Saccharomyces cerevisiae S288C: one gene and its partners. Changing the gene in region 2 together with the main gene of any one other region gives a genetic interaction. Each region holds a gene or a part of one and is shown on either strand. Other genes may lie near its edges.

Evidence for each region.
Region 1: mutations in SWE1 (region 2) and FKS1 together harm fitness more than expected from each alone (negative genetic interaction), as found in Saccharomyces cerevisiae (4 studies listed by BioGRID, with this or other methods).
Region 3: of SWE1 (region 2) and RTS1, changing one suppresses a phenotype caused by changing the other (phenotypic suppression), as found in Saccharomyces cerevisiae (3 studies listed by BioGRID, with this or other methods).
Region 4: of SWE1 (region 2) and ZDS1, changing one suppresses a phenotype caused by changing the other (phenotypic suppression), as found in Saccharomyces cerevisiae (3 studies listed by BioGRID, with this or other methods).

Annotation. Positions count from the first base shown.
Region 1 is NC_001144.5:806,794-816,599, reverse strand, and holds FKS1 (1,3-beta-D-glucan synthase), read right to left. Parts: upstream 6,604-9,806; coding exon 973-6,603; downstream 1-972. Other genes in the region: GAS2 (1,3-beta-glucanosyltransferase), read right to left, coding at 1-506; YLR342W-A (uncharacterized protein), read right to left, coding at 617-790; SPO77 (Spo77p), read right to left, coding at 7,782-9,215; 60S ribosomal protein uL10 RPP0, read right to left, coding at 9,775-9,806. UniProt on the Saccharomyces cerevisiae protein: Alternate catalytic subunit of the 1,3-beta-glucan synthase (GS) complex. Synthesizes 1,3-beta-glucan, a major structural component of the yeast cell wall. Involved in cell wall synthesis, maintenance and remodeling.
Region 2 is NC_001142.9:75,148-81,849, forward strand, and holds SWE1 (tyrosine protein kinase SWE1), read right to left. Parts: upstream 4,116-6,702; coding exon 1,656-4,115; downstream 1-1,655. Other genes in the region: 40S ribosomal protein uS8 RPS22A, read right to left, coding at 1-155; 60S ribosomal protein eL39 RPL39, read left to right, coding at 786-791, 1,178-1,327; alpha-1,2-mannosyltransferase MNN5, read left to right, coding at 5,008-6,702. UniProt on the Saccharomyces cerevisiae protein: Protein kinase that acts as a negative regulator of entry into mitosis (G2 to M transition) by phosphorylating and inhibiting the mitosis-promoting cyclin B-bound CDC28 at 'Tyr-19'.
Region 3 is NC_001147.6:355,063-361,919, reverse strand, and holds RTS1 (protein phosphatase 2A regulatory subunit RTS1), read right to left. Parts: upstream 4,247-6,857; coding exon 1,973-4,246; downstream 1-1,972. Other genes in the region: PET127 (Pet127p), read right to left, coding at 1-508; ERP4 (Erp4p), read left to right, coding at 836-1,459; YOR015W (uncharacterized protein), read right to left, coding at 1,568-1,927; YOR012W (uncharacterized protein), read right to left, coding at 4,964-5,377; YOR011W-A (uncharacterized protein), read right to left, coding at 6,062-6,268. UniProt on the Saccharomyces cerevisiae protein: The B regulatory subunit might modulate substrate selectivity and catalytic activity, and might also direct the localization of the catalytic enzyme to a particular subcellular compartment. Multicopy suppressor of ROX3 and HSP60.
Region 4 is NC_001145.3:809,509-816,446, reverse strand, and holds ZDS1 (Zds1p), read left to right. Parts: upstream 1-2,466; coding exon 2,467-5,214; downstream 5,215-6,938. Other genes in the region: ubiquitin-ubiquitin ligase BUL1, read left to right, coding at 1-796; RCE1 (CAAX prenyl protease), read left to right, coding at 1,136-2,083; YMR272W-B (uncharacterized protein), read right to left, coding at 5,251-5,358; SCS7 (fatty acid alpha-hydroxylase), read left to right, coding at 5,670-6,824. UniProt on the Saccharomyces cerevisiae protein: Has a role in establishing cell polarity. Together with cAMP-dependent protein kinase regulatory subunit BCY1, provides a negative feedback control on the cell wall integrity-signaling pathway by acting as a negative regulator of MAP kinase SLT2/MPK1.

The DNA of each region.
Region 1 (9,806 bases), on a different chromosome or scaffold from region 2:
AACAAATTTGGAAAGGATGACATTGCATCAATTACAGATTTGTACCTTTCAAAAATATGTACATCCCAAGATGGATTTTCTCTATTTATTGAAATATCAGGCTCTGAAAGATCTAATAGGACGTACATTCCTTCGGCAGATAGAGCTTCCATACATATATCATGTGATTTTGTCGGATCTATTGCATAAACACGCAGTGTGTTCACTCCTAGCATTTTCAAAAATGGAATATCTCTTAAGCATATTTTTGGGTCCGCTAAGGCATCAATATAACTTGTCTCAAAAGCCCCATTTGCATTGCTAAGCTCCTCTTCACTTCTCTGCAATTGGTAAGCAATGCCCTTGATGAAGAACTGTTCCCCACTCTCAGAGTCAAAGAATTTGTTTCCTACAATTTTAATAGCAGGGGTTTTTTCAAAGCTGACACCTGAAGAGCCATGAGACAATTGCAAACAAAGAAAAATAGCCACAATAATGGCTGCGTAAAAATTTTGTTTCTTGTTCATACTTAACTGAAAAGTTTCAAGTACCTCGAGTTAACGAATAGTAACGGATGTAGGTTGTTGAATGTTGTCTTTGTCTGACAATCTTCTCGTTGGGGCTCGCAACTATCTAGCTAAATTAATTCATTTACAATCAGAGTGACACAAATTTTTTCAGAATTACTGACACCGAAAGCTGCTCCGTTTTTTATAAATAGAGGCCGATACTGGTGAAAAAAACTAGACAAAAGACTGTTTATAATCACATAACTGTACAAAAAAACCCTTATTGGCATAAACACATTCATATACCTATAATATAAAACTAAATTAAAAAGACGCTTCCAAAAATAAGTAAAAAAGCATCAACATTAAAACAATCTAAACCAAAAACATCGAACGGTATTTGCAACATCTTGAGAGTTTCTGGTCTACTTGCTTTTGGATAGAATATCAGTAAAATCAAGCGTTCAAGCAAGTATTGATTGTATTATTTTATAGTTGACCAGGTCTTTAATGATGGCGTATGAGTATAGTAGTGACTTTGATAAGTTGACATTTGGGAACCAGTGTCATTATTGGTTGTATTTATTGGTTGGAATAGATTGTGAACAACGCCATCCAATGAATCTCCAATGTGTTTGTGGATCTTAGCAGAGGCTACAGCAGGACCAATAATGCATCCTGCAAAAATAGCCAATACTAAAAAGTACAAAGAGCAGTACTTCTTGACCATACGCTTACGCAAACGAGTTTGCTTCAGAGAGTAAATTGGGGGACGAATTTGACGAGAGGGCTTTAGCCAGAATAGCATAATCGAGTGGAATTTATCTATTTTTGGGATTATAATGAGTGGCAGTTGACAGATTAAAATCACATGACCTAGAACAAAATCAGCTGCAAATTCTGAAAGCTCAATTACCTTGGCGGTTAATTCTCTACTTGGCTGGGTCCAAGCCATGTAACCCATACCTTTACCATACCACTTACCAGTCCAGAAGGCTGTATTGGCATGATCGTTTTTAAATTCACGAGTCAACATTAACGCTGTCATGCAATGAAAAATGAGTCTTTGACATTGGATACAAGTAACGACTCCGATTAACATTCTAACAAAGTTGAAGCTCTCCAAAACCCACATGACAATGAAAAAGGCAATGTGGACAATAACAGCAACACCGTGGGCAATTCCAGCCATTACAGAACCTGTCTTCTTACAACACATACCAAATAAGGGACCAGAGCAGCATGACATACCCATACAGAAGAATAGAACACCGAGGTTAACGGCGATTGGCGCCAAGGTACAAATGATGATACGTAAAACAGAATTCACCCTATCATCATCAGTAGTCTTGACACCGGTTTGAGCATTAATAAACGTGAAGGCAATAAAACAACCAGCTGCATAAATTGCACAGGGTATGATTTCAGCCATGATCAAATTGGTTCTATGAGCCCTGCTTGCGTCACCAGCAGCTTTCTCAGATTCATCGCCAACCAGTTTACGTTTAAACCCAGTAATACGTGCCCTAGACATCCTCACGTAACCAATCCACGAGTTTCTATGATATTGATTATTACCTCTTGATAACCATCTGATATAATCCCTGTAATCCAAAAAGAAATCTTCCCAAGCAAACTGATGTGGATTGAAAACGAAAGGCGCAAAAATTAATGAAGATAGAGAGGCCCAAAACCACAGTAGTGGAGCTTGCCAATGTGCGACAGTACCGAACAGCAACATTAACATTGATCTTGCACCCATGTAGATAGCAGATCCTGCAAATCTTGAATACAAAATTGAAAATGGTATACGAGAAGTTGCAAAACCACGACCGGTGGATATATAACGAGCACCACCAATTGCTAAATCACTTAATAACGCAGAAGAGTAGATTTGGCCCGCAAACACTTCGAACATAGGGGATAATGATAATAGGTGGCAGAAAAATCTTTGGGTGGCTTTCCATAGACCACGTTCAATTAGTTCTTGAACAACAATAGGAACGAAGGCAATCCAGAAAACAATGAAAATAGACAATGTATAACGTCTCACCCAATCAACCGCAGGTTGGAAGTTGTAACACCCAATTGGAACCAAAACATCTGTTTTTGGTTTGTTCCTATCGTAAATACACATAATAGATTCATGGGCCAAGGAAGATAAATTCACCAAAGTCAACATAAACATTTGCAAAGATAATTGAATGAACAAGTTGTTCAAATGGAAACCAGGATGGGCATAATAGAATGTTAGGAAACGGTCCACTGGTAATTGGGTACCCAGATAATAATATTCACGAGATAACATTTGTTCACCCATACCAGCACCAATCTTAGTAGTGAAATTTAGAATTGTACCGAAACCCAAATCTCTACCTTTACCACATTGATAATACTCACAATGCTTGATACGACCACCACGAAGCATAGCATTCATACCAGCATAAATATCTTCGTTTAAATGCAAACCCTTTTGTGCTTTGGAAACACCACCTCTAGTGGTCATAAACGTAGCATTAATGAAATCCGGATGACCATAATGCAATTTACCACCAATTTGAGATAAAGTACGCGCAAATAATGTACCAAAAGTTTGTTCTTTACCAGCGGCCACATCACCCAGCACACCAGAGTTTTCAGAGAAAATGTATTCTCTGGCACCAACAATAGCAACAGGATGATTAGTTGTTTGCTCCTCATACCTTAAACCGGGAGCATATGGATTAACTTGTTCAACGTTCAATTCCTCAAATTCAGCCAATACAGATCTAATCTTCAGACATTCTTCCAAGTAGTTATCTTGGTTGGCATCAATTAATTGAATGTATTCACCTCTGTAAAAAATCAAAGCATGGTTTTGGTTATCAGATTTACCGTCACCAAGAATTGGGTTACCAGATAATTGAACTCTAAACTTGGGACGTCTACGACCATTATCTAGAATTTCACAATGTCCATCAATCAAAGCGGAATAGATTCTTGGCTCCTCACCTTCAGTCAAAGGTGGCTCTTCATCCAAGTAGGCAATTTGTAAGTCTGGGTAAGCTCTCAACAAAAACTCAGCATTTTCCAGTTCATGTGGTTTGAATTTAGCCAATCTCTGCATAGAGACCAAAAATTTAAACTTTCTTCTTGCCATCTTTTCTAGCTCTCTTTCTAAGCCTTCAGCATTACCACCAAACATTTGAACAATTTCAGGATTTTCCACACGATACAGTAATTTGATAGCTCTTGAATAATTCATGAACCCTGAAATGGTACGATATAGAGTCTGCGACCTCAAAGAAGCCCAAATTCTCGTACGAAGTGTATATTCTGGAGCAGCAGATTTAAAACCAATACAATAAAATGGCAAATCATCGATTTGAGATTTCAAAGCATCTTCCTTTTCAGCTTCATTTTCATTTCCTTCATAGGCAGCGGTTTCTTCAGCCAAAATCTTAGTATCCTTAACAAAACATTCCCATTCAACGGGATGTAATTGTTTTAGATATTCTAAAAGAGTAACTCTAGAAAATTGGTCATCTTCACGAATAATTTCTCTTAATGACAGCAGAATTCTTTCCGCGTAGTGAGGAGTCAATACTGTGAACGTTGGCATGTTATCAACTGGAAGTGGTTCGGGAATTGGAGTAGACAAAGATTGAGCAAAGAAAGAAATACGACGCTCAGCCTCTGAATCCCTAGGGAAAAATTCAGTCTCAAAATTATTGTCATCTTGAGAAACAAAGAAGGTAGGAGCTCTCAAAGTTCTTTTACCTTCGATTTCAGATGGAACTTGATGATATAGTAATTTTTGTACATGGTCGATGGCTAAGAGATGTTCTCTGTACATTGAAATAATGATGGCATTCCATACTTGAGAAATCAAAACCTTTGGTTTGTATTTAATTTCCATATCAGTAGTAGCCAAAATCTTGGAGTATATTCTTTTTGGCAATCTTGTGAAGATATTTCTCCATGGTGTTAAGATAGAAATACCTAAATAGAAAGATTTCCCAACAGAGAAAATGGTATTCACAATAATGTACCATAAGTAGGTATCCAAGAAGAAAAGAATGAAGTCGGTAGCGATAACCAAACCTAAGACAATCTTGGGTTGCACTTTACAAAGTACCGCACCCCACCAGTATTCACCTGTACACCTCATTGCAGTGGTGGACAAAATTCTAATTGGATCTCTCAAAGATAAAACTAAAAAGTAGTACGATTCTGAATATTTGGCAGCAAAAACAGTAACCCAAACTAAATAGGACATCCATCTATCTAACCCATGTAGAGGGGCAAATGCAGCAGTGAATGTTTGAGATGCAACATAACGCCTTGTAGATTTTTTCATATATGACGTAAACAACCCCCCCAATGGCATAATGGAGAAGAATATGATGGTAGCAACCGCAACAAAGAACATAACAGCAGCAACAACGTGTGCAGCAGTGGAGTAGACTGTATCTTTGTCGTAAGCAAAAACAAAAATAATAGGACCCAAATTAATACCAAAGATGATGCATAAAAACCAGAATCTACGAGATAGATGTTGAGCACCAGCCCATTTTCTTGGAACGAATGACCATTCACACAAAGTAGCGACAATTTGAATCAAACTTGCGACAGTACCACCTAATGCGCAAGATGCCCACTTGTAAGCAGCCAAAGGTTGGTTGTCGACCAATTGTTGATAGTTATGAGTGTAAAATGTTGGTGAATTATATGCAAAGTACATCCAAAAAATGGAGATATGCATAACCCAAATACGGTTGAAGTTGGTGACCAAATGTAACCAAGTACGGGTCTCTTTATATGTTTTGAAGAATACATCATCCCAGACGACATCGCCTAATCTTAAATAACGTTCTTCCAATGGGAGTTCTATCAATTTTGTTCCATCTTCAAGAACAATCTTTGCAATACCTTCTGGATACCAGAACAATTGGTTTAAATCATCATAACCGACAATTTTGTTATGATCTCTTTCACGCTTGACAAAACGACCATCAACAATTTCATAAACTTGATTTCTGATGAAATGATAAATTGGCGTAATGACTCTATTCAAGAAATCACCTTCTGGCATAGGTTCTTGGCGTTGTTGGCAAAGAGGGGAATCCAAGTAGTCAAGAGCACACTTGTAGATAAAACATAAACATTCAGCAGTGAATCTGACTTGATTAGCTTCACCCCAACATAACAGATATAAGGCGATATGACGAACTCTTTCCAGGGGAGACAACTGGTTCATCTTGGCCTTCCATCTAAAATCAGCAGCCTCTAGGGAGTTGTCGCCTTCAATTTTGTTTAAAGTTTCTTCAGTGTCTTCGGGATTGGCCTCTTCCATTGCTTTCTTGTTTTTCTTCTTAGCTTTTCTTGCCTTCCTTGAGAGTTTTCCAAGACTCATATTTCTAAAACCAATTTCATCATCCATATCTAACTGAGCAGCAAAATACCATTTTTTATAGTTAGCAGTATCGCCACCAATGTAGTCGGCATGTAAAGATAGTAAAGCTTGATCAGGAGACATTCTCGAGGACCTAGAGTCCAAGAGAACCATAAAATGATCAAACATATTTCTCATGGAGTCTCTTTGGAACCCGAGTCTGTTGGTCAAATCAATAAAGATATCTTCGATTTGCTCGATCGAAACGGGAGATTGAGAGTCAGCAGTCCAAGCGGGATAAGGTTCATTTGGCAAAGCCATAGCGATAGCATTTGGGTCATAATTACCGTAAATTGGAGTCGAGGTACCCGACGAATTTGGTTCTCCATAACTCATTTGAGAAGCGGTATACTGACCACCATAGCTATCATATCCAGGTGTTCCAGGAGGGCCGTAACTGCTAAAATCCGAGAAGTTTTCACCGTCTTGAGCAGCCATATTTGGCGGTTGACCATAGTATTCACCGTTTGTGTAGTCTTGGTCGTAAGACTCGTTTGGTGGTTGTTGACCATACATATCAGCTTCAGTACCAGCAGCGACATTTGGATCGTAGTAACCATCAGCTTGTGAAGGATACAAAGGCTGGCCATATTGGTCATAGTCTTGTTCCTGACTTTGCCCGTTACCTGGTCCCTGGGTATAGTCCGTTTGGCCCTGATAAGGTTGTTGATCAGTGTTCATGGTCTGACCGTTGTATGAAAGACTTGATTTCAGCTACTTGCTTATTTTAATTTTTTTGAGCGAACGTAAGAGAGGTTAATGTCCTCTAACTATCAGTCCAATGACAGTATTTTCTCCTTCTCACAAACTACAATAAATATCTACCAATCTCTTTTCGAATAAGGACTAATGATATACGCTAGTTCCTGTTTGGTAAATGAAGGCTAGTGTTCGAGAATGGAGAACTTCGTAGTCGGTTAAAACAGCTGTAGTGTTCTGGCCTTCTTAGAAAGAATAAATAGTTCAGGAGTAAAATCAAAATATCTTTTAATATAAACTAAGACAAAGAAAGAAACAAGAATTTTGATCTGAAAAAATCGAAAAAAAGGAACGAATGGATCGATGAAAATTTTCGAGACTAGGTTATAATTATTTCTTTTTTTAGATTTGTGCGCGTAAAAAACGGAACCAGAAGAAGCCAAAAAAAAAAGAAATTCTTCCTGTGCTTCATCAAAACGCGAAAATTCGTCGCCCAGTAAGTGAGACTATTTCCTATAATAGAAATCCAAGTGGCAAAAGCGTTAGACGCAGTACAAGGACGCGTTAAGAAAAATTTCGAGAGAGTCGCCGATAGTAGGATTAGAGTTTCATAACGCGTTACACGGAAGGAGAGCAGTAAGGAGGGCCCGATACAGAAAAAAAAATGGCGCTTGTTACAGATTCTGATTGCCCGTACATGACATGGTCTTTCTTTTCTTTTTCGTTAATATTTCTGCTTTTTCATGTGTGTCGAAAATAGTTAGCTCGATAAGATACTGTGATAGGCAAAAAGAAAGTTTGTCCTTCCGCATCGGTGCTGTCCCTCCTTAGCTGAGGGTTCGGTGTACCTGTGCTTTTTCGGAACCAGTTCTTGGCCCGCTAAAAATCGCTACGTCCATCCCTTTGTCTTAGTCAAGCACGAAGGAATTCGAAGTTTATCGTAATTTTGCTTTGTTCTGGTCCCTTGGTTTTCTCTTTTTGCATAAATCTGGCAGTATCGTAAAATGTGATTTGCACAAACCAATGCACAGAGGAGAGTTGAAGTACAGATAGAATGCGTTTACGACATTACTTAGGCCTTTCCAGGGCGCGAAAAGACAAAATATGGATTGCCCTTGCTAATTGTGTAGATGTTTGCATGCCGCGGTTTTATCGCTGCGTCACATATGGGATTTTGATTGATTCAAAGCCTTGATATTATCAATAAATGGTTCAATCACATCCCATTTATTGAATTGGAGGCCTTCTTCGTCCTCTTCTGTACTTGAAGTGATTGATTCAGATTCTGCGTTTGAGGACTCTCTTTGTTGGCTTTGCTTCATATCTTGAACAGTTCCGTTGCACCAAGCGCTCAAGAGTTGTTGCCGTTTTCCTTCATTGTTCTTTAACCAGAGTTGAATAATTTCATCAATTCCCAAAAATAACTGCGGAATCTGGTGCTCAAAGACAATTTTTATGAGAATTTCAATAAATGACAAAAATACTTCATCGGAAAATTTTTCTAAAAAATTGACAGAATACATGAACTTAACGATCAAGATAAAGCATTTTTGAATCTCTAAAACAATCGTTGAAAATACTCTACTGAAAAGAACGTAGTTGATAATAGTGTTTCTATTGTGGCATTGATCTTGTTCTTTTAGCTCGATTCCGAATTTGAAAGTTTCCAAAATAGAATTGGAAAAATGCTTCAAACGGCACATTATGTCCACTATATTTGTGGAGGGATACTGACCCTTTAGCTTGCAAATTATGTACTTGTCATTGTAGCATTTCAAATCTGCATCAAACATTTGTAATAAGTTTATGTTCTTTATCAACGTTTCGACCCAAATATCGTGCACAATGAACTCAATTGTGTTAATGAAAGTAGATTTTTCGAAAGCCTCATCAGAAGAGTCGGCCAAGAGTTCAATGTCTTCAAAAAAGTTTAATAACACCACGCAGTTCGGAAGTATTAGTTCTACCAAATTTTCTTCGGGATTATCTTTGCTTACTCGAAAGTCATAGAGCGTATTGAATAGTTTTTTGTTTATTTCATTTAGAGTCAACGAACATTTTTCAAGGGTGGCACCAGATAATAACTCAGCATAAGGGACATTATCGTCAAAACTAAATTCTATCACGTCTTCATCTGCAGTATTTAGCATAAAAGTTGCTGAGTTTGAACGAAGACTATCAATGTTTCCATTTTTTTTTGAAAATTTTGACTCCGCTATATGGTTACAGTCAATACTCTGGGTATATTTACCACTCGAAGCTGGGTCATTACTGTTGTTAATTTGGTAGTTTAAATTAGAAGAATTATCATCTTGAATTCTATCCCACTTTCCTTCTTTCTCATCGATCCTTATCGGAACTGCGTCAGTTCCAAACTGGCTTCTGATAGTTTCTGCATTACCGCGATGGAGCTGTTCGCTTTTATGGTGCCCTGAATTGTTTTTTGATGTGAATAAAGAATCATCTAATGGAAAAAAACCTATACTACTCTTTTTTTTTGAAGGTACATTATCTTTTACGGTATATTCGTATTCCAAAGGAAGAAAGAAGCTATTTTGTACGTTAAAATTTGAATTATCTCCCCTTCGAAACATATTCTACTTCTATTGATCTCTTAAGGAACATAGAAATACTGCAAGATAGGTTTTTTTTTTTATGGGAGCTTCTGCTCACCTCTCATCGAAGCAGTAGTTTCGTCTTTTACTTTTCTTCATTATTTCCTCGCAGCTATTTTTGATTTTGTGACATTTCTTATATCCGACGTCTTGAAAGAATCAAGCGATAGTAGAGAAAAAGACAACTTTTGGTATTCTCAGTATTTCAATAAGCATATAAAGGATAAAAACCTTTGTTCAGAGACAAGCGTAAATTGGGAAGATAGTATAGCTACTTTCTCTCATCAAATCATGAACTTTGAAATAGTCCGTATGAACTAGAAAACCAAACTACATTAAGTGGAAGTATTTTTATCCAGTTAGGTGTCCAGAGCCGCTCAGAATATATGAAAATCGCCAGGTATTCGGAGACTAACTCAGGCTAGCGCAAGGAACCGGACAGTACATTATCATGAATAAAATGAATCAATGAGGATTAATGTTATTTAATTATAAAATAGTATATATGAAATTAACTTAATAATTCATGTTGCACTTCTTAATCGAATAAACCGAAACCCATGTCGTCAT
Region 2 (6,702 bases):
TATTCAAATTCACCAATGTAACCGTGCTTTTGCATAACTTGCAAAAACTTGATAATGACCTTGGAGGATGGTCTGATTAAAACTTGACGCTTACCGGTCTTTTCAGCGTTGTTAATGGCATTCAAAGCATCAGCTAAAACGGAAGATCTGGTCATCTTGGATATGTATGTTGGTCTTGTTTTATAAAAAATACTAGAACTGAAAGGCCATTAAAAAACCTTACAATTTAAGAATTGAATAGTCGATTAAGATTATTTAGATTGAAATTGACTAACTGCAAACCCATATTCAAGAATTATTTCACATCTTCCAGCGAGTAAACATGCCGCTGGTAATCGCGCGTCCTCAATATTTGAGTTTTTCAAATAGTGAGGTGTGGATGTATAGAGGAATTACACACTTTTAAGTATGTGATGTATGGGCGCACAGTACCAATTTAACTTTTTTTTTTTTTCATTTTTTAGCTTGATTTTCAAAAAACTTATGGGCGTTTTAGGCTCCGGCTCAAACTACCACCACCACGCGGCAGGCCGAGGCAAACAGTACGCCTTGGCGGGGACGCCGAAGCGACTCCTTCTGTTCCAAGCTCAATGGTCCTTGCGTTTACGCTCGCGCGTGGGCTAACTAACGCAATTCGGCTTTTGGGCTGTCGAGAACCGAGAATTATTCTTCGCCTTGATAGATACTTTAAAACTTCTACTTAATATACTTTCTACAATTTTTGGTACATTCATATTATACTGAAAATTCGAAAAAGACAAGCAAATAAACACAGATAGATCAACATGGCTGTATGTTAGAAAGATATTATAAATCCCAGTTAGATGCTGAACTGATCAATAGCAAATTATAAACCACATCCATCTAAATGACCTTACCACCTACAATTTGGATTTGAAATAGAAGCAATGTGTAAAATATAGGGAAAGGATTAGGAGTGTTAACCATACTAAAATTTTTCTTATCCGAAACAGAAATCTAAAGTCGCCACTACGCAGATTAAAATATGGTCATAAACTGCTTATTCTGAGAACTTTTGGTGGTCCAGCGTGGTTTATGTCAGGTGGTATTGCCTTGGATCCGTGAATGCATCACATTGATGAGTTTGAACATTGTTACTAACATTTTTTACAATTGTACACTTCGTATGTGCACGATATGTTTCCCTTTTAATTAGGCTCAAAAGTCTTTCAGAATCAAGCAAAAAATGGCTAAGGCTAAGAAGCAAAACAGACCATTGCCACAATGGATCAGATTGAGAACCAACAACACTATCCGTTACAACGCTAAGAGAAGAAACTGGAGAAGAACCAAGATGAACATCTAAGCGAAGAACATATTTATGCTTCAAACTTTTTGTCATTTGTCTTCCATCCTTCCCTTATTCTCAATATATATGTAATACGTCGTATTTGATATATATATATATATATATATAATATAATTTAACGGTTGTTATCTGCTACATCTGTAAAATAAAAATAAAAATGCTTGAAGCGGCTGTACTTAAAATAAACTCATCTAAGGTTTTACATGGTATTACTACCGGACTGCAATTACACTCTTTTTCGTTATTGGATTATTTATACAATGCGGCCCATAAGCACGTGTGGGAAAAAAGTATGTAAATAAAACAAGGTTTTTTGTTCCATTTATCATATAAAAAATTTTGGCTTAGGTCCAAAGTCGTCTTCCTGGATAATAGCACCTGCATTGCGTGTCATTTCTACATACAGGCATTCCTCAGTTTGTAAGATTTGATTTGCCGTGGGCCTTCTCTCATAATTGGGCTCTATCATCCATCGTACTATTCTCTCAAGTGATTCACCATCAATAAGAAATTTCGGTACCCATGCGGGAATTTTAGAACTTTTATGCAAAATAAGACGATTCTTGGTAGCGGCAGTATTGACATTATTATTATCGTTGCCATTATTCATATTAGGGTTGTTGATATTACTATTGTTATGAACAGTGGAGGTGCCAGCGTTGTTACTATTACCACTGATATTGTCTCTTTCAAAATCAAATAAATCATTTGTATCTACTTTCGTAATGTCTGAAAATAATGATTCAGAATGAATATCTGTGGAACTTAATCTTCCTGCATCCGATAAATCACCCGATCTCAACTTATGCCATGCGTTGCCATTGTCAGGTAACACAACGTTCGCTGCAATTTCAACAATCATCAGACCCAGGGAAAAAATATCTGCCTTGTAATCGTACGTACAATCAGAAATGATTTCTGGTGCAATATATTCTCTGTCACCTTCATTTTCAAAACTTTTATCCTCCAACGGTAAATGAGTAGCCATTCCAAAGTCACCTAGTTTTAGGTTACCTTCAAATGTGATCATGACGTTTGCGGGTTTCAAGTCCAGATGCACAATGTGACAAGAATCATGGATGAATCGTAAAGCCAGGCTTAATTCCACGATGATTTTCCAAATTCTCCAATCTTCCAACCTTTTTTTCTTTGCGATAACTTGCTCTTGTAAAAATCCATCCAAATTACCATTTTCGCACAATTCTGTCATAATATAGTATGAATTTTGAAACTTCCAGGAACTGATGTAATCGATGATGTATTCCTTCCCTTCTTGATCCATTGTAATTTGGTTTGTTACCTCGTTTAGTATTTTAATTTCCAGTAATATGCGTTTCAAGGAATTATATTTGTTTGGTTTAATGGCTTTGATTGCATACTTTTTGTTTGTTTGGGCAAACGTAACCTGGTAGACCGTGGAAAACTGGCCTTTACCAATGGAATGCACATTCGTAAATTTTTCGAAAAGATGGGAATCTGGATTTGCTGATAACTTATTTGAAGAGATTAGACGCCTTTTGGAATTTAACGGCGAAGAATCGGTGGAAGATATGGAATGCGTCTCTGCACTTGTTGTGTTTGTCACGATGGCAGAGGAGAGTGACAATGGTCTGCTTTCTCTATGTGTTTGAGATGTTGCCCCAATAATAGATTTTCGTCTTGTTGGAGTGGAGATCTCTTCGTCAGTGTCATTGTCATAGCGTCCACGAAATTGATAAGGTTGAGGGTTCTTTCTAGTTGAATGATGACTTGATATTATGATTGGAGGTGGGAAATTCTCGTCCGTGCCGTATAAATCATCTTTGAATTGTTGTAAACTGTTTGTTAGCTCTCTATTTTTCAAAATAACCGAATTCCTTGCTCTTTTGATTTTTTTGAACTTGTTAGAATGCAATGTTTGTGGAGAGCTGTTGGTAACCAAGCTATTAGTGGGAGACAGGATGTTTGTCTGGTTATTGTGACGATCATGTGCATGATATTTTGCCTCGCTCAGTGGGGATGAGTCTATGGTTGGTACATGGATGGAAGGTAAAGCTTTCGAAGACGGAGAATCTGAAAATAAAAGGTCTTCTTGTAAATTATTGTCTTCAACAAAATTTAAAGGGGAAACACTTAGAGAAGACGATGCATTTTTCGAACTCGAAAGGTGGACATGCTTATGGTCTCTTCCCTCCACTAAGGGTGATTTTTTCACTGGTGTTTCTGGTATCCTCAATTTCGCAGGGTATAACGAAGTGTCCATAGACATTTTAGATACGAGGCCCGAAGACGTAAAGGCTGATTGGTTAGGTTTAGCGACGCTATATGAAGAGGATGAGGATGTATTTTCAGTGCGAGCATCATTTTTCGGAAACCATCGCTGGTTCCATTGTTTGAGAGAAATAGGACTGTTCGTTTTTTCCGCAGATCTTTTTGTAATAGGAGTAGTAACACTTTCATTTTCATGGAACGGAGACCACCTTTTAATACGAGAATCCACGCTTTCCTCATCCTTGCCTTCTTCCTCCTCTTCTTCCTCTTCTTCAATTTTCCCAAGAAATTTGGAGTTAGCCTCTGACAAAGCTGTATTACTTAATGACAGGTTCAAGGTCCCCGTACTTCTTGTCAATTTGTTGTTCGAATATGGATAAAATTTCAGTTTATTGGTCGGGGTGCTACCCCCTATAGCAAAATCATCACTCTCGTCTTCGCCGGCCTGTTTGCCAAACATCTTCTTCCCCATAAACTGGAGGTTCTCCGTGTCCAGCATTTCGAAGTCCTCTTCATCCTCGTCCAAAGAACTCATCTGTTCTCGTGTGCGCCTGTGTGTGTTTACTTTTCCCCAGCACTACGCAATCAAAAATAGTAAGACCTGTTCAGTAGTAATCCTTTTTTTATTGGACTAACTGCGCAAGATGATGTGCAGGATAGTTAACACACGCATACATACAAAAAAGAGCCTCTTGGACAACCTTTACTTAATACACAGGGGCACGCCAATGTTCAACTGTGTTGTTGATTTCTTATCCAGCATTCTTTTACTTCTCTGCATTTTTTTCGCGTCGCGTCGCAAATTGTGATGGTTAAAAGAAAAATGAAAAAATATTTTTCGCGTCGTTATCACCCGGAGGAATAAAAAAAAGAAACATACACATCACGTGACCACAAGAATGTTAGAAAGGCTTACCAGTACTAGAGACGTTAATAAATTGCGAATAGCCCCCTATCTCCCACATGTTGGCATCTGTGAGGTGGAACCTATTTAAAGGTGCCACATTTCTTTCCTTAGAGGACGATGGTTGCAAGATCAGCACAAATCCATAGTTTGATGCATGGAAAGCGAAGCACTCTAACAGAAGTAAGATAATAAACAATCTCACGATTCTACTGATTTAAGTGCAACTAGCTCTTGGGCTTCTTTTGGTTGCCAAGTCGGAATAGACGACAGATGCATGTTTCGGTGCAGAGTTCAGAGAGATAAGTGCCTTCTTTTATCTTTTTCCCCGTTCTTGCGGATTTTTTTTTTCACTTTCTCATCGGCGGGGAAAAAAAAGTGTAACAACTAAAGGATCAACACGGCTTTAAAGTGTTTTATATATACGCAGATATGAAAAAAGCATTTTCACGGTTATTGGAAATTTTTATTTTACGACTGGTTCCTAGCACAACAAGAGGATATACTAATAGTTCAGGTTACAATGCTGATTAGGTTAAAGAAGAGAAAAATCCTGCAGGTCATCGTGAGCGCAGTAGTGCTAATTTTATTTTTTTGTTCTGTGCATAATGATGTGTCTTCTAGTTGGTTATACGGTAAAAAGCTTAGATTGCCGGTTCTAACAAGGTCGAACCTTAAAAACAATTTTTACACAACACTGGTACAAGCCATCGTGGAAAACAAGCCGGCAGATTCGTCTCCGGACTTGAGTAAGTTGCATGGGGCGGAAGGGTGTAGCTTTGCAAATAACGTTGCTGCACACGACTCTGGACACGATAGTGACTTAAGTTACGAGAGCTTGAGTAAATGCTATAATTTGAATAAAACAGTACAAGAAAGCCTACGAGAAGTGCACAGTAAGTTTACAGACACCTTATCAGGGAAACTGAATTTTTCCATCCCACAAAGAGAGGCACTTTTCTCAGGTTCTGAGGGCATTGTCACCATTGGAGGTGGAAAGTATTCTGTGCTCGCGTATACGATGATCAAAAAGTTGAGGGACACGGGTACTACATTGCCTATTGAAGTCATCATTCCGCCTCAGGACGAAGGCGAGGATGATTTTTGTAAGAACTGGTTGCCGAAATTCAATGGTAAGTGCATTTATTTCTCAGATATCGTTCCTTCAAAGCCATTAAGCGATTTAAAACTCACGCACTTCCAGTTGAAAGTCTTTGGGTTGATAATTTCCAGTTTCAAGCGTATTATCTTCTTGGACGCAGATAACTATGCGGTGAAAAACCTTGACCTTGCTTTTAACACTACATCCTTCAACGATACTGGCCTGATATTGTGGCCCGATTTTTGGAGACGTGTCACCCCTCCCGCCTTTTACAACATTATAGGATCTAGCATTAACATCGGCAAAAGAGTCCGTTTTGTTAGTGACGATATTTCCCCCGTGTCACGTTATGATCCATTTGTTAGTAACTCAAACGATTACACTCCAAAGGAGAGACAGGAGCATTTCCTGAAACATGTTCCCTTACATGATCTGGACGGCACGATGCCAGACTTGAGCTCTGAATCAGGCCAGATGGTGATTGATAAGATTCGCCATTTCAACACTCTATTACTGGCGCTATACTATAATGTTTATGGGCCTACCTGGTATTATAAGATGATTTCTCAAGGCACTGCCGGTGAAGGTGACAAAGACACTTTCGTCGCTGCTGCCCATGCCTTGAATATGCCATACTATCAAGTGAGGACTAACTTTGAATTTGATGGTTTCTTCTATCAAAAAGATGATTACAAGGGTCTCGCCTTGCTCCAGCATGATTTTGAACAAGATTACAAGCAATACCAAAAGGCGCAGCAGAAAGTTAAAGCCAACATTGAGGAATTTTCCAAACTGGATCCAGATTATACTTTGGACAATGGTTTCTTGAAAACTTTGATGGTTAATGATGACGGTTCTGATTTGGATATCATGTTCATTCATGCCAGTTTCTACAAGGCAGATCCATGGACTCTTTATCATGAAAACAGATTTATCGGTCCAAATGGCGAACAAGTACGGGGCTTCAGGAAGCCGCATCGCTATGGAATGGATTTTGAATTGTTTTTATTCAATGATATGAGGGGGTCCTTCTGTACCACTCCGAAAAGCCAAGTTATTAAATTCAAGTATTTTACCGATAAAGTTAATACCCCAGAATGGGATGCAATGTGTGAG
Region 3 (6,857 bases), on a different chromosome or scaffold from region 2:
CATCTTGATTGTAACGTACTAATGCGTGCCTAATCTTCTGGACATTTATCCGAAAAGTGTATGAATTGCTATCTGAATATGTTCTGCTAGCGGGATATGTTCTCCTAGCGGGATATGTTCTCCTACCAGGATATGTTCTTCTACCAGGATACGTTCCTACCTTTGTCCGCTCCAAATACTTATCATGTCTATACTCCTTCTTTATATTTGTTTTCAGTAGATTAATCGCCTTGTCCATTTCTTCCGTATATTTTTGTCGACCTCCCTTTTCCTTGTTTCCAATGTCCTCTACAGTCGAATTTGTGTCATATATTTCATCGACCATCTCTAAAGCACTATGCAGGTCAGAACGTAGCTTGTCTGGTGTTTCTCTTCCACTAGGGGCATTTGTGAGAGCAGCGCCAAAGTGATAAATCGATCGCTGTTGATAGCTTTTAGCGGCGCTACCTATTCTGCAAGGCTCAACAGATAGACGTCTGGACAGGAATCTACAGTTGTAGAACCCCATTATCAAAACTATAAAAGTATCAGGTAGCGTTTGGCTCTTTTTTGTGCTCTCTCAAGTGCCCTGTTTATATTATATTTTTACATATTTGTTTCTTTATTAACCAACGGCATTGACGGAAACGCGCTTTATTATGGACTACTTTTTTTTCACTGTTTCCTGTTTTTTGACGTGATATACTCAAAGATGAGCGATTGACGATCTGAGAATTCTATTTGGGAACTCTTCTCTGCTTTGAAGACATTTATTTCCCAGCTGCCTTTGAAGTAGTTTCACGAGCGCTAGTGAAGTTTTTTCATAAATATATATTCCCAATCATCGCTAGGAATTATGCGCGTTTTTACTTTGATTGCGATTTTGTTTAGTTCATCTTTGTTAACACATGCATTCTCCTCTAATTATGCTCCTGTAGGCATATCATTACCTGCTTTTACCAAAGAATGTCTTTACTATGATTTATCCTCTGATAAAGATGTCCTTGTGGTCAGTTACCAAGTTTTGACAGGTGGGAATTTCGAGATAGACTTCGATATTACCGCCCCTGATGGCTCTGTTATCGTCACTGAAAGACAAAAGAAGCATTCTGATTTTCTACTGAAGTCGTTTGGTATAGGTAAGTACACTTTCTGTTTGAGTAATAACTACGGCACTTCCCCAAAGAAAGTTGAAATCACCCTCGAAAAGGAAAAGGAAATTGTTTCTTCCCATGAAAGCAAAGAGGACATAATCGCAAACAACGCCATCGAGGAAATTGATAGGAACCTGAATAAGATCACCAAAACAATGGATTATTTAAGGGCTAGAGAATGGAGAAACATGTATACTGTGAGTTCTACTGAGTCAAGATTAACATGGCTCTCATTACTAATTATGGGGGTAATGGTTGGTATCAGTATAGTGCAGGCATTAATTATTCAGTTCTTTTTTACCAGTCGCCAAAAAAACTACGTATAGGTTGCTTTTCAAGCTCTTAAAATTGTTGGATCAGCTGTGCTAAGGGGAAGGCACTTTTTTGTATCATGATCCTATTTTTTTTGTTATTTAATTATTTATGACATACCTTTATACTTTAGTTTTCAAAAATCCAATAATAGATAGGCAAGGTTTACGGAAAAGAGTGGAGTGCAAAATAAATAGAGGAAAGGCAGAAGGAAGAAGGAAAGCGAAAAGAAAAACGAAGATATATTTGGAGAAAAGTATAGAAATAATAAAATGAAGACACATCGATTGAAGTATGCTCAAATGATGAGAAAAAGAGACCTTTATCTCAGGCCACAAACAACCATTGTCCAAGTGGCTTATCTTTGCTATAGTTTTGTTCGAATATTCGGGGATTCTATCTTTGGTTTCTTCAACAAGTTGACCCCATTTACCAGTTCTTTTTTGCTCTTCATATACTGCTGCTCTTTTGAAATGTGGCATGCCCTAAACTTCCTCACTTCTTCGAGCTTGTAATGAATTGCTGTTTCACTGTATCTCGCTGTCACAATCATTTTCGTTCTCTTCATTTAATGTGTTATTCTCACTTGCTGTGTTGAAACTGTTTCTTAATTCTGGGTTTTTGATTGTGTATTGGTCCTTATCATTGTTAATCCTTAGATTTTTTACATATTCTTCAAGTTTGCTCCAATTTTCTTCACGTTGCACCTTACGCTGTTGAGTTTCTTTTACACTTGATAAGTACAATGCATTACAGTTTTCGTACAATACTGGGTTTGTTTCCAGAAAAATTTTCAATGCCTTGAATGCCATAGCATGAATTGCCCTATTCCACGAACCAGAATTGATTGCTTGCTCAACAAGCATGTAAGGGTCTGAAATGCTATCTTCGCCATTTGCTGTATCTAGCTCTAACTGAGAAGTTAATTCATATAATGCAGGAAATATAATGGGTAGGATGACTTCGGCATTTTCGATACATAAGTTTAAGAAATATTCATTATTCCAATAACTTAAAACCTTTTCCGCCACTTGGAAATGTGGAGAAGAAATACACTTAGCTAATTGAACAAATAACGGAACTTCTACTTTAATAAATTCCAGCGGTTCGATCACTTCAAAAATATCCTCGATTTCATTTAGAAACATTATCTCTTTTGTGGAATTTATTTTTGGCCAATAACGCAGTAAGCCCATAACTACCTCTTCGGTTAATAAAGGATCTTTTTCGAGAAATTGAACGATACAGTAAGCCAACTGAGGGTGGTATAATGATAAACAACGGACCTTGTGTAATGGTATCAATATCCTCACCAAGAAAACCTTGTGCTCTTCCTTTAATGGAAGTGCAAATCCATTAATTATGGAACCCAAAATTTCTAACAATTCTGCCACACCGTTAAACTTCTCAGTCTCATAAATAAATTGCAAAAAAATATTATTCATCGACCGACGAATAAAGCTTCTTAATGATAAGAACTTCCCATATATTCTATGCAGTGTCGTTTTCAAACAGTCTCTTTCTCTGATATCTTCGCTATCAAATAATTCCAGTAACTTTAAAATAAAGTCCTGATCAATATATTGTTTAGCAATCTGATGATTGAAATCAGGACTTTCCACAAACCTTAAAAAGAATTCGTAAACAGCTTGCATATGAGGCCAGGCTAGTTCGTTAACAGGTTCATCTTCATCTGGGTCATAAATGTCACCAACTGGATTTACTGGTGGTGGAATAGGTCTAAACAGATTGATTTTGAACATGTTCACCACATGAGCGTACATCTCATTCGTGTAAGTGAACCTATTTGTTACAAGGAATTCTATTAGCTCATCTAAGGTGCTTCTTTTAATCTCTTTACCTTGAATGTCAAAACTTGGATCATTAAAGTCAAACATAGTGTTACACTGGTCAACTTTGGCAATGAACAAAGGGATTCTTTCTTCAGGAGAAACTTCATTAAAATTTGGCAATTTCGTTAATGGCGTATATCTAGATGGCTCGAATCTAGATGAAGAATGACGTTGGGGAGTCTTAATTAACTCTAAATCTGTGTCAGGGTTAAGTTTTGTGGGTGTTGGTAGTCTCTCAAATGAGTGTGATGATCTCGGAATGTCGATACTTTGTGAGGAGGCGTGGTTTGCATCCTGAGTATTACTAGTATTAATATTCATATTGTTATTATTACTATTACCATTTTCTACATCAGAAGAAACTGCTGTACCTGAAGCATTTGAAATGGGAGATGATGGAACAGCGGATACTGCCCCCAGCAAAGTAGGATGTGCATGATCTTCACCAGAAGTGCTTTTGTCGTCCTTAGTAACAGTGAGTACTGGAGTGGGGTTCATTATAGCGGCAGATGATGAAGAAGATCCTTGCTTTTGAGATTGTGATGGCTGTTGCGATTGTTTGGACTGTTCTTGTCCTTTTCTTGAACTTGTTTTCTTTGTGGAGCTTGAACCGGAGCGACTGACACTTGAACTTCTACTGCTACTGCTGCTGGAAGAAGGGGTCGTCGCTGTTTTTGTTTTTGATGTAGAGCTACTATGATGCTTCCCTTGCGAGGGAACACTACCAGATTGCTTGCCCTTCTCAGTTGTAGACTTTGATCCGGTACTGCTGGCAGAACTGTGAGTAGTCCCGTGGGAAGAGCTACTAGCCGAAGCGGGCTTCTTTGATGTGGATGAGGTAGTGGAACTTTTTTCTTTTTCCTTCTCTTTGTCCTTCTTTTTACTGCTTGAAGAAGAAGAAGACCCGGTGGTCTTCTTTATTAATCTTTGCTTGAAACCACGCATCATATTGAAAGTGGATGTTCGAAAATAGCACGTGCCTATTGATCTTAATAAGTAGAACTTTTATACAAAATAAAAAAGCCAGTTAAAGACGGTATTGAGGTGAACAGGTATATGGAGAAGGGTTTATATTTTTATCTAACAAAAAAAGGAAAAAAAAGCAAAATCGAGGGGGGAAGGAAATGAAACCCAAAATACTTACGGCGACGATGGTTTATCCTTGAAATGAAGAGTTTTCCAATGAAGAAACGAGACGTATTGACATGCCTACCAATTGAAGTGGAAAACAAAGCGTAGTTTCACATACTCTTTGATAATCAATTGTCTGATACTTTTTTTTTTCCTTTCTCGCAGCCGGGATAGGGGGTTGTGACCCGGCAAAAAATGTTGGTCTAAGTTTTATTGTTGCTATATGCTCCATACATACAATAAATGTCTATAAAATTTTTAGAAGAAAATCAGGCGTGAAAGATGGTGTCTGCATCTTTGTGGTAGAGCATCAAGTAGGCCGTGAATCCCTTCCCCTGCGGATCGGGTTCTCCTTTGGAGTTCACTTCTCCAACCCCGAACTGAAACACCAAATAGGTTTTGAAACCGAAATATTCGTACACAGATCTTGCGTGCTCCGAAATAGCCTCGAGAGCAAGGGCGCAATTGGCCTTGTCTGCTTTGGTTTTATATTTTTCGAGTATTTTTCTGACTGAACCTCTAATTTCGGGATGGCTAGGATCTTTTCCGATGGCATAAAGGTAGTAATAGTCCATTCCCAGAGGCATGACTTCGTGCTTCCTCACAGTCAAGTCGTGAAAAAAAAATCTTATTGAAAGACTCGTCGTCAGATAGTGTAGCAGGCAAGTGGCACCCAGGGCGGCTCCATATTGCGACTGCATCGAAATCATTTGCCTCAGCAATTTCACCATCCAAGTCATGGTAGCACGTCGTGTAGTAATGTATCATTGCATTTATTCTTGCCCTTGAAACTTTTTCAGTGATTGGGATATGGAAGAACTTTTTCATCAAGTAGTCATTTGCGTATGACTTTTCGAATGCCTTAAACAAAGTTTTCGAAGCCTTCTCTACATCGCTTGTCAAGTTTACCGCCAAAGAGGATTCTTCATTGATCGATGATGCTACCATTATCAAAACTATTGATTTGTTTTCAACGTTCTGATTAGTATTTTTGTCACTGCCTTTTTCTATTGTTTCTTTTTTTGCATTTCTTATAGTAACATAAAAAACACAGGAAAAAAAACGTCGTTTATTATATCAGGAGTAAAGGATTTCTGCCCAAAATGTCAGGAAAATTACGATATAAAACGTACTATAAGATAACAAGCGGCTGAATAATTTCTGAGGTCAGAACCATAAGGGTACTGAAATACTATGTGCTAGATTTTTTATTTATTTTCTTTTTCTGATTGATTATCGTTTGGTTAAAATCAGTATGATATTATATATGACTTGCTTTATAATATATCAAACCGACATAAAAAATTATCCTACTCAAAAAAGATCATGGTTGTCCCCGCGTTTCACTTCTGTTATACCATGCAAATTTTTATATCAAATGAGTAATTCTTTCATTTCTTTCGGGACCCTTTACGAAGTAGTTGTTATATCTCCACTGGCAAGGCCACGAACTGACAAAAAAGGCATGATATAAATTGTGAGAAATTGTGAGTTAATTTAATAATTATGCGACGAGATGATAGAAAGGTAAAGACGACTTTTTGAGCCGGATCTGTTTACGTCAGTAAATTCTCGCGCCCCAAGACGTTATGAGGCATAAAATTTATTGCGTTCAGTTTTCTAAAGAGCTCACTATCGGTGATAGAAATCTTTCTTTTTTATTATCTTCTTGTCAGTAGTAATGTATAAGCACCAATATTGAAATGTCCAATTTTTTCGGCTCTTCCCAAGAACTTCAAGAGAGCAGTAGTATGGAAGAAAGTATTGTGAATGATACACAAAACGGTTTAAATACTCCAATATTTCAAAATGAAAGAAATTGAAAACCGATTTTGCCATTAATAATGATTGCTTATTATCCTTTAGTGAAGAAGTTTGTATTGAACTTCAAAGCTGATTGAAAAATCATTATATTTGAACACGTCGTGAGAAGACATGTGTCCAAGTGCATAGTTATTTAAGGCTTCTACGCTGCTTTGTCCTTTTATTACACATTATAATGAGTCTTCAAGATATTTGACTCAGTATGTATAAGAGAATGCTTCCATTGAGATAGTAAGATGATACGTATTGTTACAATACTTGATAATAAGATGCGTTAAAATATTAGTTAAAATGTTAGCTAAAGTTGTACAATTATTCAAGTCGGTGGAACAATAACACTCATTTTATATTTAATTTGTAGGCTGGTTAAATTTAATAACACTTCTTAGGGCTCTATTTTTATGAACAGGACATCATATTATGTAGGCAATAACTTCCGAACTTCGTAATTGATTTAATTGATAATACGACCTATCGTGAATATGCTAAAAGTTCTTTTCGAGGATATAGAGATTCTCGAAGAGAGAGAGATATTCTAAATAACAATATACATATATATATATATATATATATATATATATATTCCTTTCTTGCTTCTTTTTTG
Region 4 (6,938 bases), on a different chromosome or scaffold from region 2:
ACTTGATTTACAATTGACTTGCATAGAATCCGATAATAGCTTACCTCATGATCCGCCAGAAATTCAATCGATTACCACAGAACTGATATGTATAACTGCTAAATCTGATAATTCTATCCCAATAAAACTCAATTCTGAACTGTTGATGAACAAAGAGAAGCTGACAAGCATCAAAGCTTTGTACGATGATTTCCATTCAAAAATTTGTGAATATGAAACCAAGTTCAACAAGAATTTTCTTGAATTAAATGAGTTATATAATATGAATAGGGGAGACCGTAGGCCAAAGGAACTGAAATTTACAGATTTTATTACTTCACAGCTGTTTAACGATATCGAAAGCATTTGCAACTTGAAAGTTAGTGTTCACAACTTATCCAACATTTTTAAAAAACAGGTCAGTACCCTAAAACAACACTCAAAGCACGCATTATCTGAGGATTCAATATCGCACACAGGTAACGGTAGTTCATCGTCGCCCAGTTCAGCGTCATTAACGCCAGTAACTTCTTCATCCAAGAGTAGTTTATTTTTACCTAGCGGTAGCTCGTCTACTTCCCTGAAATTTACAGACCAGATTGTTCATAAATGGGTTAGGATTGCTCCTTTACAGTACAAACGAGACATTAATGTGAACTTGGAATTTAATAAGGACATTAAGGAAACTTTAATTCCAAGTTTTGAAAGCTGCCTATGTTGTAGGTTTTATTGCGTTCGAGTAATGATTAAATTTGAAAACCATCTTGGCGTAGCGAAGATTGATATCCCTATTTCTGTTAGGCAAGTGACAAAATAAAAAAACATTAGAAAAAATTCTCGTTACTTTTCTTATAGATATAGATATATGTATGGTTTGCTTATAGATGAAGGTATTTATCGCGTCCTTTGTATTCCCTATTATTAATAAAATTCTTTTAAAATGCATTTTCTGGTGCTCTTTTGTTGCTTCTGTATTTTTTTTTTTTTGGACCACTGGATGGAAAACCTTTGATGATTTTATTACCTTTATTTTAAGTTACTAAAATATCGAGATTTCAGGAACAAAACATAGAATTTTCTTTGTCAAGAAAAATAAAACGAAATAAATTGATGCTTTGACTACTGACTGTCTGTCATAGAGAGAACCAGAACAGCAATGCTACAATTCTCAACATTTCTAGTGCTCCTATACATCTCCATATCCTATGTGCTACCGCTATATGCAACTTCACAACCAGAAGGGTCTAAACGAGATAATCCTCGAACGATTAAATCTCGCATGCAAAAACTTACAATTATGCTAATTTCCAACCTTTTTTTGGTGCCTTTTTTACAATCTCAATTATCTAGTACCACTTCACATATAAGTTTCAAGGACGCATTTTTAGGCTTAGGTATTATCCCAGGTTATTACGCTGCATTGCCAAACCCTTGGCAATTCAGCCAGTTCGTGAAAGACTTAACGAAATGTGTTGCGATGTTATTGACCTTATATTGTGGACCCGTTTTAGATTTTGTATTATATCATTTATTAAATCCAAAGAGCTCTATACTTGAAGATTTTTACCATGAATTCCTGAATATTTGGAGTTTCAGGAATTTTATATTTGCACCAATAACTGAGGAAATATTTTACACGTCAATGCTTTTGACTACGTACTTAAACCTAATACCGCATTCGCAACTAAGCTATCAACAGTTATTTTGGCAACCATCGCTTTTTTTTGGACTTGCGCACGCACACCATGCTTATGAGCAATTACAGGAAGGCTCCATGACAACTGTTTCCATTCTGCTGACAACATGCTTCCAAATTTTATACACAACACTTTTTGGAGGGTTAACCAAGTTTGTATTCGTAAGAACAGGCGGGAACCTATGGTGCTGCATAATCCTGCATGCCCTTTGCAATATCATGGGGTTTCCTGGTCCTTCAAGATTGAATTTACATTTCACAGTAGTAGACAAGAAAGCTGGACGCATTTCCAAATTGGTCTCAATCTGGAATAAGTGCTACTTCGCACTGCTGGTCCTTGGATTAATATCCCTGAAGGATACCTTACAAACTCTGGTAGGAACTCCTGGTTATAGAATAACCCTTTAGCCTTTTTTACGTACTTGTATACCGTTTAAAATTTCCTATGTACTATAACCTTTTTTCACTACTATTATGGAATTCTATCGAGCGACCGGGCTTTTGTTACGGAAGAGTGAAAAAATCGAGTTTTGGTGTTTTGGTGAAAGAATTTGGAGGACTATAAAGTACCTATACTTTGTATTACGGACTCAATAACAAGTCGTTCGTGTCAGTGGTATTGAAGTTGTCAGATCTAAGAGTAGAGAGAAGGTGGCATCTAATAGGTTTCGACGTTTTTCTTTTTTTAAGGTTTTTATTTGGTCTCCTAGAATTTAAGGTCTTAGTTAGTTTTGGTTTGTTTTGTGGGTTACATATTTTCAATTCAAAGGAGAATTTAGCTGTCTTTTATAATGTCCAATAGAGATAACGAGAGCATGCTGCGTACTACATCAAGCGATAAGGCGATCGCTAGTCAAAGGGATAAACGGAAGTCTGAAGTTTTGATTGCTGCACAGTCCCTTGACAATGAAATCCGCAGCGTAAAAAACCTAAAAAGATTGTCGATTGGGTCAATGGATTTACTTATTGATCCAGAATTAGATATAAAATTCGGTGGGGAATCTAGTGGGAGACGATCATGGTCTGGCACGACATCCAGTTCTGCGTCAATGCCAAGTGACACAACCACCGTTAATAACACACGATATAGCGATCCAACTCCGCTAGAGAACTTGCATGGGAGGGGTAACTCAGGGATAGAATCCTCCAATAAGACTAAACAAGGTAACTACTTAGGTATAAAAAAAGGTGTTCACTCTCCATCCAGGAAATTAAATGCTAACGTATTAAAGAAAAACTTATTATGGGTTCCCGCCAATCAACACCCTAACGTTAAGCCTGATAATTTCCTAGAGCTTGTACAAGATACTTTACAAAATATACAACTAAGCGACAATGGTGAAGATAATGATGGGAATAGCAATGAAAATAACGATATTGAGGATAATGGGGAGGATAAAGAATCACAATCATATGAAAATAAGGAGAACAACACTATCAACTTGAACAGGGGGCTGTCAAGGCATGGAAACGCGTCACTAATACGAAGGCCTTCAACATTGCGGAGGTCATATACAGAGTTTGATGATAACGAAGATGACGATAATAAGGGAGACAGTGCCTCTGAAACAGTAAATAAAGTCGAAGAAAGAATCTCCAAAATAAAAGAGAGACCAGTGTCGTTAAGAGATATAACTGAAGAACTGACAAAGATCTCAAATAGTGCAGGACTAACCGACAATGATGCCATTACATTAGCCAGAACTCTTAGTATGGCTGGTTCATATTCAGATAAAAAAGATCAACCACAACCGGAAGGGCATTATGATGAAGGAGATATTGGTTTTTCAACTTCACAAGCGAATACTTTGGATGATGGTGAATTTGCCTCCAATATGCCCATCAATAATACCATGACATGGCCTGAACGATCGTCACTGAGAAGGAGTAGATTCAACACTTATCGAATCAGGTCACAAGAGCAAGAAAAAGAAGTAGAACAAAGTGTGGATGAAATGAAAAACGACGACGAAGAACGTCTAAAATTGACCAAGAATACAATAAAGGTCGAAATAGATCCGCACAAATCCCCTTTTAGACAGCAAGATGAGGATTCTGAGAATATGAGTTCGCCTGGGTCAATTGGTGATTTTCAAGACATTTATAATCATTACAGACAGTCTAGTGGCGAGTGGGAACAAGAAATGGGAATAGAGAAAGAAGCCGAAGAGGTACCCGTCAAGGTTCGAAATGACACAGTAGAACAAGACTTAGAGTTAAGAGAGGGAACAACAGACATGGTAAAGCCAAGCGCAACGGATGACAACAAAGAAACGAAGCGACATCGTCGAAGAAACGGATGGACATGGTTGAACAATAAAATGAGCAGAGAAGACGATAACGAAGAAAACCAAGGGGACGATGAAAATGAAGAAAACGTGGATTCACAAAGAATGGAGCTCGACAATTCCAAAAAACATTATATTTCTCTATTTAATGGCGGTGAGAAGACGGAGGTGTCAAATAAAGAAGAAATGAACAATTCAAGTACTTCCACCGCCACATCACAGACAAGACAGAAAATCGAGAAAACTTTTGCGAACCTATTCAGAAGAAAGCCACACCACAAGCATGATGCATCATCATCACCCTCGTCGTCACCATCATCGTCACCATCAATACCAAATAACGATGCCGTGCACGTTCGCGTGAGGAAAAGCAAAAAGCTTGGTAACAAAAGTGGAAGGGAGCCGGTTGAACCCATTGTGTTGCGCAATCGCCCTCGTCCTCACCGTCACCATCACAGCCGTCATGGTTCCCAAAAAATAAGCGTAAAAACCCTTAAAGATTCTCAGCCGCAGCAGCAGATACCATTACAACCACAATTGGAAGGCGCAATAGAGATAGAAAAGAAAGAGGAAAGCGATTCCGAGAGCTTGCCCCAACTACAGCCGGCCGTTAGTGTAAGTAGTACCAAAAGTAACTCTAGAGACAGAGAAGAAGAGGAGGCAAAGAAAAAGAACAAGAAGAGGAGCAATACGACAGAAATTTCCAACCAACAACACTCCAAACACGTCCAAAAGGAGAATACCGATGAGCAAAAAGCTCAACTACAAGCTCCAGCTCAAGAACAAGTCCAAACTTCAGTCCCAGTTCAAGCTTCAGCCCCAGTCCAAAATTCAGCCCCAGTCCAAACTTCAGCCCCAGTTGAAGCTTCAGCTCAAACTCAGGCTCCAGCGGCACCACCATTGAAACATACCTCCATATTGCCCCCAAGAAAGCTTACATTTGCAGACGTCAAAAAACCTGACAAACCAAACTCCCCGGTTCAATTCACAGACAGTGCCTTTGGGTTCCCACTGCCTTTGCTGACAGTGTCTACGGTTATCATGTTCGACCACCGTCTACCAATTAACGTCGAAAGGGCCATATACCGGCTGAGTCACTTGAAATTGAGCAATTCGAAGAGGGGACTGCGCGAGCAGGTATTACTAAGTAACTTCATGTATGCTTATCTGAACTTGGTTAATCACACTCTGTACATGGAGCAGGTAGCCCACGACAAAGAACAACAACAACAACAACAACAACAACCCTGAAAAGGCTTCAGCGCTGCATACATAGACATATACACATCACACGTACATACACGAAAAGATAGCTTTCATGCTCACAAAGCTACGTTCCCCACAGAATATTTCCCAGGACAACAGGGAAAGTTGGACAAACACCAAACTTCTCATAATACAATAGCCGAAAACAGTCTTGCTTTTGATAAAGAGAGCTTTCTGCGGCCGGAAGAAAATGTGCCTATTCCGCGGGGCCGTTCCGCGCAGAAACTACCGCACGACGTCGGAAATATAACGGGGTTTTGCGCGGATTTACTGACGTGTGACATCTTTTCGCAGTTAATTTTTTTTTCAATTTGGAACCGTATAAGAACAGAGGTATTAGATAGTAGAAGCTATTGTGTCTATTGTCTTTGATTAGTTTTTTTTTCTATTGTTATCGTGGCAGGCACTAAAAGCGGTGGTAAGCTAAAACTAGTACGAAGATGTCGACTAATACTTCCAAGACTTTGGAACTGTTTTCAAAAAAGACGGTACAAGAACACAATACTGCCAATGACTGCTGGGTCACTTATCAAAACAGAAAGATTTATGACGTGACCAGGTTTTTGAGCGAACACCCTGGTGGTGACGAGTCCATCTTGGACTATGCTGGTAAGGACATTACTGAGATCATGAAAGACTCAGATGTGCATGAACACAGCGACTCCGCGTATGAAATCCTTGAGGACGAATATTTGATTGGTTACTTGGCAACTGACGAAGAGGCAGCGAGATTGTTGACTAACAAGAACCATAAGGTTGAAGTGCAGTTGTCAGCTGACGGTACTGAGTTTGACTCCACTACTTTTGTAAAGGAGTTGCCCGCCGAGGAGAAACTAAGTATTGCTACGGACTACAGTAACGACTACAAAAAGCATAAATTTTTGGATCTGAACCGTCCTTTGCTGATGCAGATTCTGCGTAGTGATTTCAAGAAAGATTTTTACGTTGACCAAATCCATAGACCAAGACATTACGGTAAGGGGTCTGCCCCGCTATTTGGTAATTTCTTGGAACCATTAACTAAAACAGCTTGGTGGGTTGTTCCAGTTGCTTGGTTGCCTGTAGTTGTGTACCACATGGGTGTTGCTTTGAAGAACATGAACCAGCTATTTGCATGTTTCTTGTTCTGTGTCGGTGTCTTTGTTTGGACTTTGATTGAATACGGTCTTCACCGTTTCCTATTTCATTTCGATGATTGGTTACCTGAAAGTAACATCGCATTCGCCACACATTTTCTACTACATGGTTGCCATCATTACTTGCCCATGGACAAGTACCGTTTAGTTATGCCACCTACTCTGTTCGTCATCCTTTGTGCTCCATTTTACAAGTTGGTATTTGCTCTGCTGCCACTTTATTGGGCTTACGCTGGTTTTGCTGGCGGTCTTTTCGGTTATGTCTGTTATGACGAATGTCATTTCTTCTTGCACCACTCTAAATTGCCTCCCTTCATGCGTAAGTTGAAAAAATATCACCTGGAACATCATTATAAAAACTACCAACTGGGATTTGGCGTCACATCCTGGTTTTGGGACGAAGTTTTTGGCACCTACTTAGGCCCCGATGCCCCATTGTCCAAAATGAAATATGAATAATTATTGGTCAGCCTCGTCCAAAATTGTCAACCTAGGAAAAACAACATTACGAGCAATGAAATCTTGAGCAAAGTTCTTTTCTGCGACATATTTATTTCAAATCTTTATTTATAT